Drosophila melanogaster: one gene and its partner. The protein of the gene in region 1 interacts with the protein of each later gene in a biochemical or structural test. Each region holds a gene or a part of one and is shown on either strand. Other genes may lie near its edges. The genes, in order: beat-Ia and side.

Region 1 (7,569 bases):
CATTAATATACGATTGCACTTTCCATTATTGTTTGATTTTTATCCCATATTTTCCTTACTTTTTAGATATATTATACAATTTAAGATATTTAGCAAGTGCTGAATTAAATTTCCGTATTAATCCGTTGTTGTCACCCTCCTTAGACAAAATCTACGAGGCCCGCCAGGAGATCCTGCGCCTGGCCACGCCATTCGTGAAGCCCGAGATCCCCGACTACTACTTCATGCCAAAGGACAAAGACCTTAATCTCGCCTACCGCACCCAGTTAACTGCTCTGCTGGCTGGGTATGTGGACAGCCCGAAGACTCCATCGCTGCTGCCGCCCTCCTTGGCTGGCCAACTGACGCCCTATGCCAACAACAATCACCTGTTGTTGAACGCCAATGGCTTGGCCACGCCCACTGGGGTGTGTGCGCCCACCCAAAAATATATGCAGTTGCACAACAGCTTCCAACAGGCTCAGAATCGTTCCATGGTGGCTGGTGGGCAGAGCAACAATGGCAACTATCTGCAGGTTCCTGGAGCGGTGGCGCCGCCTCTCAAACCGCCGACTGTTTCGCCACGGAACAGCTGCAGTCAGAATACCAGTGGTTACCAGAGCTTTAGCAGCAGCACCACCTCCCTGGAGCAGTCGTATCCGCCGTATGCCCAATTGCCGGGCACCGTGTCGTCCACTTCATCCTCCACCGCGGGAAGCCAAAATCGGGCGCATTATTCGCCAGATTCCACTTACGGCAGTGAGGGTGGTGGCGTTGGCGGCGGAGGTGGTGGTGGGGCGCGTCTGGGACGACGCCTTAGCGATGGAGTGCTGCTGGGGCTGAGTAATTCCAACGGTGGAGGAGGTAACTCCGGAGGAGCCCACCTCCTGCCCGGCAGTGCCGAGAGCTATCGGAGTTTGCACTATGACCTTGGAGGAAACAAGCACTCCGGCCACCGTGCCTTTGACTTCGACATGAAACGGGCCCTGGGCTACAAAGCCATGGAGCGCACCCCGGTGGCAGGGGAGCTGCGAACACCCACGACCGCTTGGATGGGAATGGGCTTGAGCAGCACCTCGCCCGCCCCTGCCCCGCTGGAGAACGGGGAAAATGGGGCTGCTGGTGGAGGAGCATCTAGTGGGTGGCGGCTGCCACCAGGACTGGGTTCCCCTTACGGACTGAGTGCCACCACCGGACTCCTGGACGCCACTCCAGTCAACCGACGGATGCAGCTAGCCAAGCACAAGGACATCCAGACTCTGCTCACCAGTTTGGGTCTGGAGCACTACATCAGTGAGTAGCTCCGCCGATCATGTCCGTTTTTACCAACTGTGTACTAGAAGTCTTTTATAAAGCTATCATATATGTCTGGCTTGAACTGGAGAGTGTTTTATTTAACGCAAACGTTTTTTCACAGTCATAGATAAAGTTACATAAAGTTCAACATCCATATAGCATTTAAAATCAAACTATTTTATATTTACAACCTGGGAAAACTACAGTTTTTATTTCTCCTTTCAGAAATATTCGTTCTAAACGAAATCGACCTGGAGGTGTTCACCACCCTGACCGAGGAAAACCTGATGGAGCTGGGTATCGCGGCGTTTGGAGCTCGCAAGAAGCTGCTGACGGCCATTCACACGCTGCTGGCCAACGAGGCGGCCTGCAGCACAATGCCCAGCAGCAGCTCCTCGCAGAACTCCTCGTCGCCGCGATTCTCCGGAAGTGCGGCCCCAGGCGCAGAGCGCCGTCCCTCCAACCAGTGGTGATCCGCTCCTGTCGTTCGACCCCATTGCCTCGAATTCTTTTTTTCTTTTTTTTTTTGCATGCCCATTTATTTGGTAGTCGTAAGATCAAGAGAATCGGAACGGTAAAAAGTATAGGAAGAAGTCAGGAAGAAAATGGCAACTCCCTGGGCGAATAGCTTTCCCGCACAACACAGCCTTGACCTTGACTTATACTCGCATTTGTACTCAAATTCCAAGTAGCATAGCTGCGCTCGGGAAAGTGCACAGTTTTCCCAGTGTGCCAATAGGTCGTAGTTGCCTTTATTTTAAGCGATTAATTTATTTTGAAATTATTTATATAGGAAACCGTCTTAAGCAAAAAAAAAAAATATTGTGAATTATTTATGAAATCTAACTAAACGAAATCACTTGTTGTAAGAAATGAATTTATGTAAACTAACTGAAAAAGAAAAAAAAATTAAAAACAAAAGCACAGCATGTATTAAGTGATAAGCAAAATAGTCACGCACAAACATTTGATATGAATAAATTGATGTCTATGAAAAATCAACTAAATATATTTTTTAGTAGATTATTAGATTAATATGATTTGCTTAATTTTGTAGAAACATTTGTAATATATGTACATTAAGTCGTTGCCGCTTTGAACTCTTTTAGCCTGGTTGGAATAGAGGTTAATGACTTTATTGTCTCCAGTTGTCTGCATAATTTGTATTGCCTCGCCTCGTGCCAAGAAGTCTTGCAAAGCAACAAAATCGAATGTGTGTCCTTACACGAACTAAACGGGCGGCAAAAGGGGCGTGGCTGAGCTAATGAACTGGAAATGTTTTGCTCCAGTTGCCGGTGGTTGCTACCGTGTTGCATCAGCATAATTGCAAATTTTTATGATTATGACACTTTGGGCGCAAAGTGCCTTTGCCAATGGCAACTAATTTCTGCAGCCATCTCAGTCCCAGTCTGGTGGTCATCTACATGGGGCTATGCTCCACTTAAGTACTTCGAGTGGGCTTTTGCGGGACATTTTGGCAAGCGGCTTGATTTACAATTATGCTGGATTTGAATTTGGATCCCAAGTGGAGTCACTGACCAGCCCGAGAGTCGCCAGTTTCGGCCTCCATTCGTCAATGCTGGTCCCATTTTAAGTAGAGGAAGTGTTGTGTAATGGGAGGACATAGTTAAGTGGCCATAAGTATAATTTGAGTATGTGTTTCCTCGGCCTTTCAAAAACAGTAGGAAAATATATATATTTTTATAAATTTCTTTCGAAAGAAGTTGAAAATTGAATTAACCACGTTAAATTTACTTTCCATATACTTTTTCCGTACACTCAGACAGGAAGAAGTATTTCTAAAATATATGCTTATTTAAGCATACTTACCTTCCGAAGTCTTGTAATTAAACTCTAACATGTATTTAAAAAATTTAAAGTAAATTTAAAATTTAAAAATTTATTAAATTTAAAAATAATGTTACAATTGGTTTTTTTATATTGTACACAGTAAGTTGCCGTTTAAAGTGGCAGTCGTGGTGAGTACAATCAAGCAGTCAAAACGAAGCAGTTCTCTTAGGCAAAGCAGTGGGAAGGGGAAATCAAGCAGTGGAAGGGGAACCAAGCAGAGTTAGCAATAGAAGCATTTATGGATAAGAAACCCACCACACGGGTGCTCTCTCTCTCTCTCTCCTCGCTTTTCCATTCGTGATTTTCCGATGAAGGACGTCGGATTCTCCGAACCATCTTCGTTGGCCATTCGCCAATTGGGAAATCTGTGCACAGGACTCGCAGTGTCGCGAATCCTTCGACTCCTGCTGCAGTTTACATTGCGTTGTCCGTGCGTAAGGACGTGCGTAGATCATCATTTCAATTTTCGCAGTATTACGAGCATCGGAAATAACAGAAAAAATTGTTTAAAAAAAAATGGTTGAACTGCACTGAAACCGCAGGACTGAACCCAATTTTTGCTGTGGCGTGCGTGTGTGCGAGATGCAGTTTTTGTGTTTCTGACATAGCATTTACCAAAACAGAAGGCGGAAAATAGGGAAAAGGATCCGACGAAGGATCTGCGATAGTCCCAAACTGTGTGTGTGTGGGTAAGGCTGTTGCTTCGTCGCCACCAGTGCATGTGTGTGTGTGAGTGCGAGTGTGTTTGTGCAGTCACGTGTTCTAAGGTGATTTTAACGAGCTCCGTGATACGCGAAATGAGATAAGGAACGAGGAAGCAGCAGAATCGGGAGGAGTGAACGGCTTAGGCGGGCACAAAAAGGAGCAACAAGAAGCCACGCAGCCAAAGCCAACAACCAAATCCCCATTCGCCAGGACAGGATACTTGCTCGGTGCGCCTTAAAGGATTCTCTGATAAATCAACCGAAAATTGCATAAAATAAAATTGTTTGCCAAATTGTGCGCAGCGAGAGAACCAAAAAGCAAAAAAAACAAAACCTTATACTCACATGTGAAATATGACTAGCCAGTTGCATTGAAAGTACAAGAAAATAATAAGAGAGAAAATTTACCCAAATAACCTGAAGGTAGGAATACATTATAATCTCTTTGACACAAATTGATGCTTTGGGATATGATGTCAGGAAGGGTATTGGGATATGATTACGAATATTTAGACTCGTATACTAGAAACGCACAAGAGCGTATGTTATTTAAAAGAAAAACAGTTTTTTAACATTTGAAATTTGAAAAACTAATATTTTAATTTTGCTTCACAACAGAGTTGTAGAAAAATAGTTGATAAAGTTTATAATTGAGAATATTATTTGCAAGGGAATGCAAATAACGTTTGAGTAACAGCTCATAAGCCAGTTCAGCGAAAGCATCAACCTTTCACGAACTTTGAAGCATCCTCTGCGCTTCTGTAATTTCATATATCGCAATCTGCGACGTTTAATTTTGATGCACCATGTCCCTGCTCCTGGCAAGGCAATTTGAGGATTCCGGGGGTTTCCTTTCACATCCCAGCCAGCGGAAGATAAGCCGGAAGATGTACAGAAGGGCGTGCCCGTCTCATCCAACAGGCAAACAAAACTTGTCAATTGCCAGGGAGCGTGTCTCCGGGACCTCGGGCTCATCCTTTTTTGGTAAACATTTCCCATAGTTGCTGGGGAACTAGGCAACAATGTCTTGAGCTCAGTCCTAGCTGCTTCGATTTGCCCATTTTTTGTTGATGGAAAATGTCAACTGCCTGGCAGAGTTTTCATCCTCACTTTCGAGCAACCCACTGACTAGGCAAAAATTGTATTTAGTGGGACAATCAATATCGGATGAGGGAGGGGCAGTCAGTTGGGCGGCAGTCAAACATTTATTTGATTGACTGATTGATATGTGAAATGATTTATTGCCGCCGGAGGAGGAGGAGGAGGAGGAGGAGGAAGAGGAAAAGGCGAAGGCGAAGGACGAAGAAAAGTGCTGGCAAGTGTCCACAAACAGCTGAGTCGGAAAAGTTCCGAAACAAAACGAGAAAACCTTTAACCAGCCGAGCAGGAACATTTATTTCCCAGTCTATCTCTGCAGTTTTCCATATCCTGCTCTGTTTTTGCAGTGGAATTTCCACAGCTCTGTAAAAATGGCTCGGACCAAACTTTTTCGCACGCTTTATGGGAGAATAAAGTAAATAATGAAAGCTATTTAGCACAGCCAAGGGGCACATTAAGTCGTCGCCAGCCTTTTCGGATTATCCTGCGACCGGCTTAAAAATAACAATAGGACCAAGCAAACAGATGCACACTGTAAAAAAATAAACTCCGGCAGGATTTTTGAGTTAAAAATAAATAAATCTGTTAAAAGGAGTTATTACACATTTTGACTAACTCTCCTAAAAGTAAAGTGCTTATTTAATGAGAAGGAATATAAAAGGCGTATAAACTTTATGTCATACTTTTCCAGAAATCTACGAAACTTTTGTCATAAGTCATTATTAAAGGGAAATATAAAAATTTTCCGAATTATTTTACTAGCTTATTTTCATCTAGTTTGTCACCCATTACCAAAGTTACAGTATAATGAGCTCCCTTTTGGATTCGTATTATTTTACATGCATAAGCTTAAAAATTTGGCTAACCCAGAGATTATGAATTCCAACCAAAATCAAATCCTTTGAAATAGCACAATGTGTTCACCGAACTTCCTGGCGCTTAGTTCAAATTTTGAATATTGTCATAGATTTTATTCAAATAAAACGGACAGCATAATATTGGCATTGATAAATGGTGTGACAGCTCTTCGTATTATATTTTGGCCGTGTAATATCCGTCGAGAGAGGTAAACTGTGGCCGGCGTTTAATGAGCTGTGTCCTGATCTGAGCCTCGGATGACCGGCGGCTCCTTTCGCCAGTTCGCTGTTGAGCTGGAGAAATTTCAGCCATTTTTTACTGCCACCTGCAACGGTGTCGCATTCTTCTCTCGACCAGGTATTTCTCTTATAGCCTGGATCTTTTATTTTCGTTCTTTTTTAACTATTTGGTGGCGCTGCAAGTGCTGTGGCTTATGAAAAAGAACGCTGAGCGGAGGCACTCCGAAATTCGGGCGAAAATGCGAAAAAGAGGAACCTAACTAGGCGTGGGTGTTAATTAGTTTTTCGGCAAGTGCCCCGAAATTCTGTTTTCTTATTAGTTTTCACTTATTTGTTTAAGCTGATTATGTGCGTGTATACTCAACCAATGAGTTGTGCTAATCCTAAAGGAATTTGCTCGCAAATTTATGGCTTCGTTATCCCACTTGAGCTTTGATCTACAAAAGCTGGTTAAATGGCCAAGGATTTATTCAATTAGTATTGGCATAACTGAATTAGTCTTGGTTTCTGCCTTGCATTTAATATTTATTGCATAAATAGATGTTTATCCAATCATGCCCCGATTTTATTTATTAGTTTTCTGTTAACAAATAGATGAGAATTTAAAATGGAATAATAAATCCAACTACTTACCTTATCCTGTGTAAATATGAATTTTGATTTATAGACAAAAATTGTATATCATAATTTATATAATTTCGATAAAAAAGCTTTACTTTGTTTAAGTGGATCATGGTATATTATGTATTTATATTTATAATTTGAGATAGAGGACAAAAATCAAAGAGCTATTTTTTTTATGTGCCAATTTCTTGGAATCGAACTTTAAAGCGACTTGAGATTTCCGTCAAATTTTAAAAGCAGACAGACTTCTCGCGAAAAACTTTTGCACCACTCCTAGTTTTAATTCTTATCTCTTGTGATATATGAATGGATAGAACTTTACAAATTTTTTACTGTCGGGAGGAAAAAATTTTTTTCCGCCGCATCACAAATCTTGCACCGACTCAAACTTCGCCCCAACAAGTACGAAAACATGGGCAAACACAAGACCTTGGGGCTATTGAAAAATATCTCATATGCAAATCCATTGTTGTTATTGGCATAGTCACTAGTTCTCCAATTTCAAGGATCTCGAGTGGCTCCCTCGACTGCGGCAGTGTGTGTGTAATCTAGGGCCCCTTTTTCTACTTTTTGGTGCTAAAGGCGCATCTCAAGTGCAACATTTGCCAGGGGTAGGAGAAGTATCTGTACCTAGCATATTTGTTGTTCCTTTGCGGCTGCGAAAATGTTGTGGCATGTGGAAATTTATTTCATAATCTCTGCAACAAAAATCCAAAACGGCACAAAAAAAAAAGAAATGGGGAAAAACTTTTGCATATGAGCGGGCGCATCGGGATAGGGAAACTACGAGTAGCTAAGCATGTAATTTATATCCTTGAATGGTCCCTCCTTTTCCCCCTCTACAAACTCACTTCAGTTTTGGGGCTTCTCCTGGGTTTTTGGTATCTGCATCATGCAGTTATTGCCGATGCCCAGGAGCG
Region 2 (7,541 bases), on another chromosome or scaffold:
CGGGGCACGCCCCCATAAATCAAGCGGCCAGTCGGCCTGTCGGCCTGTGAGTTATTCACTCAGCCACAATGTCCAGCTGTCAATCATTCAAGCAGCTTGCTGCGTAAAAAAGGAAACGACAATTTAACGGCAGTCAAGTGGCGCACATCAAACATACCCTGGAAATAGCGGGGTCTCGGTCCGATTAGGGGGCCATCCTTTTAAGGGAAACTTCATTAGACCAGAAAACTCTGGCTGCCCCAGGGCCAAAACGGCAGGCACTTTTAATGAGTGCCTCGAACAGATTCAACCCATGGAGGCCATGGAAATGGCAGTGGGGAAGGGAAAAGGCACGTGACATGACAGTGGGAGATTTTCTTTATTTCCAGCTTCAAGCTACGAGCCTGCTGGTGATGATTTTTCGGCTTGTGAGACATGGGAAGTTGTTGAAATCTTGTGATGCATTAAAATTTGCAAGTTTTGACTTTGTTTGTGTGTGTGGGAGAGTCCTGTGTCTGAGTGCGTGTGAGTGACAGTTGTGTGTCAGTGGCACGCTTTTCCAGCTTTCGGGACACATACACATACACACACACACAGTGGCATTTTATGCAAATGTCGCTTTTCTGCGTAGCTGCCTCGCTTTTTAATGAGCACACACACAACCCGACAAAAGGATGGCACACAACCGCATTAGTTGATTGTGTGTGTGTCTTATCCTCTTTCTCTCCTTTTGAGTGCGCGTGTGTGTGTGTGCCGAGTCCTGCGACTGTGAAGCAATTAAAATGAAATAAGCTAGGTTTTTTCACTCGGCAAACAAATTTCCACTGCAAGACAAATGCACAAATGTCATAGCCACACCGAAAAGAAATATCTGAAATGATGATTAATTTACAGCAAATTTAATTTGGGGAAAGTTTTGGAAAGCTTCTAATTGAAAAATATAAATAATATGTGTCATTTTCTAAATGGAATTAAAATTTTTGGGGTGAAAACGTATTGCATTTCAGTTACATGTATATTTTGTATGAAAATTGAAACTAAAAGTGAGTTAGTGGAGCATTTGGGGTGCGAGCACGTGCCAATTAGCCATCGTGACCCAATGAAACTTCCTTTATGGGGTTCCTTCGGTTAAAAGCCAGCCCATTAGTCACTCAATCAGCTGGCATCAAGTATTGCTTTAAAAGCATTTGCAATGCTCCCATGCCACTTGCCTGCATTGCATTTGTTATGCCCTTGTTATCCTTGATCCTATTTGCGCTTTTCTTTTCTTTTCTTTTCCTATGCCATTTTCTTTCTATTTTCTAACATTTCTGCTTCTGCAGTGGCCATACAATACGAGTGCGTCATGTGCATAGGTGTGAAGGTTGCCGCGGGCGAGCAGCTGAAGCTGCAACATCAACGTTGCTGCATAAAAGGCTAATGCCCCGGGAAAAGTGGAGGCCGAGCTGCCATCGAAGTGCCCTGGGTGGCTTGGTGGCTTAGAGGTGCAACAGCTTGGCAGGTGCAACTGCATTACCATGCGACAATCTGTTCCCATTTCCCAACAGTGGCGAATATTTTTATGGCCAGCCGGAAGCTGAGTTCACTGAGTTCACAAGTTTTGGAAAAAAGTTGTATTTAAAATAAGCTAGTTGAATTTATTTTATTATAGTTTTCAGTTTCATTTATAATTAAAAAAGAAAGCAAGAACATAACAAGAGAAAGGATGTATATTAATTGAATTTGAAATTTAACTTCTAAAAATATGAACCAATTATATTCAATAAACTTTTCTTCTTTATGTGGCAATTTGAAAACATATTCGTGTTTCCTTAGCAAATGTTGCTTTCATCATTGTCCCTCAACACTTAACGAACGCAACAATGCTGCGAGAGAGCGGAATAATGGAATTGTTCTGAAACATTCCTATGTGTTGTAGCAACATGTTGCATGTGCCTAAGGGCAATTGAGTTAAAAGGGGAAATAAGTTCATTTTACCATGGAAAGCTGTAATTGTTCTTATTTTCAATCAACGTATTATTAACCCTAAGTAAATATATTGATTTGCTTATTTGCATACCAGAGTACTTAAGAATTTATTTATTTAATTTATTATTTATATTAATTCATTTAATCGATTTTACAACTCCTAGAATTGAAACAGGATGCCATGCATGCATACATTTCTTAAGCGTCTAAAGCGTGTCACACGCCCAATTAAAATTAACCAATAATGGCTAAGTGCATCATTACCCACAGCTTACGACAGATCAAAGCCCGAACAAAATTGAGCAATTCAAGCAGCAAAACCACCGGGCGATAGTAAATGCTCAAAGGCCATTGATAATCCTTCGCCAGGACGACAACAAAAGCTTGTTCATGCCCCTAACCGGGGGATAACTCAATTATGTGGTAAGTTATGGACACGATTCGAACGACGGCGGAGTGGAGGGTGGCCAGAGTTGACCTAGGCTGACCCCCAAGGAGGGATAAAGCCTTTTGGGCACTTTGCTGTCAAATTAGTGCCTAGTTCGGTCCGCATAATTGGCCCAGCCGAAAGTTTTTACACGCAGCCATAAAAGATTTATGGAAATTATGCATGTGTTTTTTGTTTATCCTGTCTGGGCAAAGAGGGGGGGGGACTTATGAGCGGTGCCAATAAATCACATGGCGAGTGGCCCATTAATTGGCTGCAAGCGCGCCCGAGAGCCAAAACAACACTCGACCAGTTGCCAAAGGTCACGTCCTGGCCGCATGTTGCACGAGGACTCGCACGAGCAACATGCGGCACGAGAGAGCGCGGCAGGACTCGTGATCCGAAGCTCGTCGCCGTCCGAAGTGAAAAATCGTGAATGATATGCGGCATGTGTTGCTACCCCGTAGCAGCAGCAGCGAGCAGCAACGAGCGGCAGCAACAACATGCAGCAGCAGCAGCAGCAGCAGCCGAGCAGCGGCAGCTGCGAATGTTGTTTAGTTCTTATCCGTGGCTCACAGCGTTTGGTTCGTCGTGCGGGTGCTGCTCTATATATCGATAGCGTGTTTGGCTACATATATCTGTGCCATTGCTGGCGCTTGCCACTATTGCCACCACTACTCAGCAGGGATTGCGATTCTCTAGACAGTGTGTTTTGAATTCTTTTGGCCCTGGCCAACTTGCAATTTATGTGGCTAATTAGAGGAATAGGAGGCGGCGGCGGACCATTTGTGCGTGACTCTCGAGCGCCGTAAGTGCTGCGCATCGTTTACGTTTCGTGTGCCGCGCCCCTACCGCCCACCAGAAACAACAACGACAACAACGAAAAAAAAAGAAGAAACGAATTAACACAACGTGCCGGAAAAATAATAATACACTCAAGTTATCAAAACACTTGAAGAGAACTGGAAAAAGCGAAGTTCGAAATAACTGCAGTGCAAAAAAAAAAGCGAAAGGAAATCGAAATTTAGGGCAAAAGCGGATTACGAGCAGCAATAACAGCCGAAAGCGGAAAATGCGAATGAAAATGAAACTCCAAGTGCGGGCAAACAAACAGCAAGACTGAAAAGTGAGTTGCGGAAAATTCGTAAAAGTGCGTAGTAGAGCAGATAGAAGGACCCCCGAAGTAAATCATTAAATCATATGGAAATGTGAACGCGTCACTCTGCCTCATTAACGATTTCCCATTTTCGATTTTCCATTTCCCAATCAACCAACAATACCAATACCGCACTCCAGCTGCGTGCGGATCATCAATTAATTCCAGTCAGTTTTCGCACTTTAAGCGCCAAAAAAAGCAGCAATAAAAAGGAGTATTCCCACACAAAGAGAGCGCACAAATTAATGACACAATAACACACTGCGGTTTCATTTGTAGTGGTCAGTATATATATGAGTATATCAGTGTGTGTGTGTGTGAGAGTGGGCGCAACAGTTCGTCGGCCGTACAGCCTGCCCCCTTCGGTTTTGATTATGATTCCCATCTGATATGAAACGATCCAATCCGATCGGTCGCGTGGCATATAATTTATCACAATTGCCATCGTCTGGCGGGGCAAAGTGAAAGTGCATCGGAGCATCCGCAAGATACAAAGATAGTAGATACAAGATACAAATTGCTTATGCAGACATCTTTGCAAATACGGGTCAGTGCATTGGAACAATAGCTGCGAGCAGCAAAAGTTTTGCTCTCTATCTGTTGGCCAAGCAAAAACATAAATTAAACTTGCCAGTTGGAAGGCCTTGAAAGTTCCTCTGTCCTTTGGATTAGCTAGCCAGGGAAAGCCAAAGAGCAGCCGGGGGTAAGTTGGTCCTTCTGATTTGTAGCCATAAGTCCGTGCTCCGGAAGCTGCGCCTTCAATTCGCAATGCCATTCCATTGCATCCCATCCCATCCAGATCCCAGCCAGCTAGCCAGGATCCACAGACAGCCGGGGTTTGCTTATGGGACAGATTTGTTTGCCTTTCAAATTTTCATCTTTGAGTGGAATGCTGTTGTGATGGTCACTTGAGAGCTGAGATTTATGTCGTTGCTATAGGAAAGGAAAACAAATTAGGCCAAGAAAGTCATTAGTTTGGTAGAATTTTTCTTGCTGCTTGTGAATTATATTTTTAGACTATAACATATATTTAGCCAGTTCTTTATTATTACCCAATTAAATTTGGCTTGTTGAATTCACTTCGCTCTTTCCTGACAGTACCGAATCAGATTTCAACTACGGTTTCTTGATAAATCCATTACTAAAAACGTTAAATCTACTTCCTGCTCCCCACTCACTCCACTCGTCATTTTTTTAGCGGCATATTTTTTGCGAGCTGAGCAACCTTGGCAACAATCCAGTGAAATCCTTGCATGAATTTCGCTAAGCGCCTCTTGCCGCCTTGCATCCAACATGGGAGTTTTCCATGTGCGTGGCCCCATTCTTGGATTCCTGGCTACTGCCCCATATGGTGGCACACATAAAAAGCAAATCACAAAATCCACTGCGCAGCTCCGTTTCCAACCAGTGGCAAAATATAAGAGGGAATAATAAGCTCTCATATAAACGCTACAGCCGCAGGATATTTGCAAAGCCAACAGCCCTCCTACCAGGATCCCGATCCTGATCCTGAGCCAGTGTCGGCACGTATATACGCCATATGCCATATATGTATATGCTAGCCTGTCCAGAGAGTTCGGCTTCATTAAAGCAAATAGAAGCCCAGAGCATATACATATGTATGTACATATATGGTATAAAGCGAACTCAAAATCACCCACACAAAGTTGAAAATACGAACAAAGCGAAACAAAACCAAGCGAAGCGGAGCGTGGCAAAAATTGCGAACAGAAAGTTTTGGGGCAGCAGCATGAGAAGGAATTAAATTTAGGTAAATGCATTGAAGGAATTCAATTTTAAACAAAATGCTGCTAGCGTCACACAAGCGTCAGTTCCGCATGAAATGTGTACTATGTGCAAATATGTGAGCGGGAAAAGGGAAATGGTGGGAGTGGGAAAAGCGTTGGCATCGCTGCTGCAGAACGGCTGCCAAACAATAAAACTTTCAATACATATTTTATTTGACTTTATGCTGCAATTTTATGCATAATAAATCCTGCAGCCCGAACAATTGCTTCACACCTCGAGGGCTTCGTCAAAATGGATAAATATTATGGATAAATACAATCAGGATGGCAACCGAAAGTAGAAAACATTCAGCGAGCGACTTGTGCATAATGAAGAGACTCCTGCATGCAGGATAAGCGAATGGCAACGCTTTTGGCGATAACCATTTTGGAAATTCCATTTAGCCCGCAATAAAATAAATCCAGTTTGAGCCGAGTTCGCCAGCTGACACCGCTCGGGATCACGACGCATGGCGTTCGGGGCATTTGGGAAATAGATGAAAATGAATCCTGGCACATTTTCCAATTAACGAAATTTACAAAATGCCAACGCGCCTCGGCTAAGCCGTGCAATTAAAAAGCTGGAGCACGTAGAGTGCAACGTGGGCGGCTAAGCTGAGTGGGAAAATTGAGCGAGTGGTGGGTGGCTGGTTGTGCGAGTCGGTTTTCCAGGTGCAGCGGAAAATGTCGTCGCTCACCACCCGCCCCTCTCCCTTTCGCCAACCGCACGTAGTATGCAAATTATTGCAAATTATCGGCGTAAATTGCATTTGCCTTTAATGAGTAGAGAGTGTCTGGAGCTGCAGAGCTTCGCCTTCGCAGCTCCGACTTAGAGTTCAATTATGCTTCCGCATCTTGGTTTTCGCCACTGTTTGCATTTCATTTCACAGCGAATCGCCCCCACGTGCTGATTTATGTATTTTGCCCCGACTTTGCATATTTACATTGTATCTATTTCCACGAGCCGTATCTGCCGGATGATGGGTAGGCTTCGATTTTATTTGCGTGTTGTCACGTCGCAGCTTTCGAGCAATCGTCGCCCTTGCGGCCGGCGAATGTGGAAAATCCCCTCCACGGATATTTGTAATTCTAATGCCGCCAAAGTGCTCGTCGTGATTTGCATACGCATCGATATCAATGGTCCTGGGCTTTTCGTGGGCTCCAGCTCCAGACTTTCGTTGACCTTACACGTCTCAATTGCAGTTGGATCTGGCATTCCTTGACCCCGCTTCCAAAACTCAAGTGTCTGGATGGCGATGGACTTGTTCTAGGCTCGGGCACCTCTTATCCCATAATGCTAATTGCCTTTGCTCGGCTAATTGCCGGCAATTCTGGTCTGCTTTCGATCTCAATGCGCCGTTGTCCGCGGCTGTGCCATAATTTATCAATTTGCTCGGGCTGCCTTTGTAAACGAGACAAATGAGGCGAGCCGGGAAAAACGAGCTTATCTCATGTCAAACACACTTAAGCAGAGGAAAAGCCCTCCCCCCCCCCCCCGGTGGGAAAATCTCGTGTAGGTTGCTTGTAAATTTTTATTGGCCCTTAATGCAATAGAAACTATGGAGCCAACATGAACATTACCAATTGAATTGGAAATGGGCATTAACATGGCCATCCAGTTACATTGGCATCGACTTGGTATGGGCAAAACGAGTACACAGAGCAAAATTTACAAGTAACTTTGAACTTTGGAATATGATAATTCTTATAAATTATAAAATACGTTTTTAAAAAATTCGAATAATTTTTCATTTCAAGTTAAAAATAGTTTTACTTTTGAGAATCCTCTTGTATATAATTATAATAAAGTAATAACAATAAAAATCTGATAAAGATGCTCAAAAAATTTGCGTGTAAAGGAGTGCGAGCAAAAAGGACGATTCCACTGATGCGGATTGCTGTTGACCAAATGCGATTTTTGCATTAAACACGGCGAATTGCATTTACCTTGCTTTTTTATAAGAGATTCTCCCGTTGCGATATCTGCAACGAGCTTCGATTAATGTCTGAGTCGCTTAATTGGCTTTCTGTGTTGCGATTTCAACTGAATTGCTCCTGCTACTGCGGATGATGCTGCCGCTGCTGTTGCTGTTGTCGCGGCTCAAGGATGAAACAAAAAGCACACCGCTAGCATTTGCATTTAGATTGAAAACGCCCGGCGTTCGTGGGTTCGATTTGGGTTTGCTTTTTTCGAATGTCGCCCGATGCTTCGCTTTGACTGATG

The links.
Region 2: the proteins of beat-Ia (region 1) and side form a complex in vitro, tested with the Drosophila melanogaster proteins (one study listed by BioGRID).

What each region holds. Positions count from the first base shown.
Region 1 is NT_033779.5:16,046,458-16,054,026, forward strand, and holds the start of beat-Ia (beaten path Ia), read left to right. Parts: upstream 1-3,507; 5' UTR 3,508-4,253; intron 4,254-7,569. Other genes in the region: BicC (bicaudal C), read left to right, coding at 145-1,272, 1,501-1,748.
Region 2 is NT_033777.3:27,432,882-27,440,422, reverse strand, and holds the start of side (sidestep), read left to right. Parts: upstream 1-2,940; 5' UTR 2,941-3,500; exon of another isoform or gene 3,501-4,233; intron 4,234-7,541. Other genes in the region: CG43447 (uncharacterized protein), read right to left, coding at 1-16; CG44290 (uncharacterized protein), read left to right, coding at 1,302-1,461.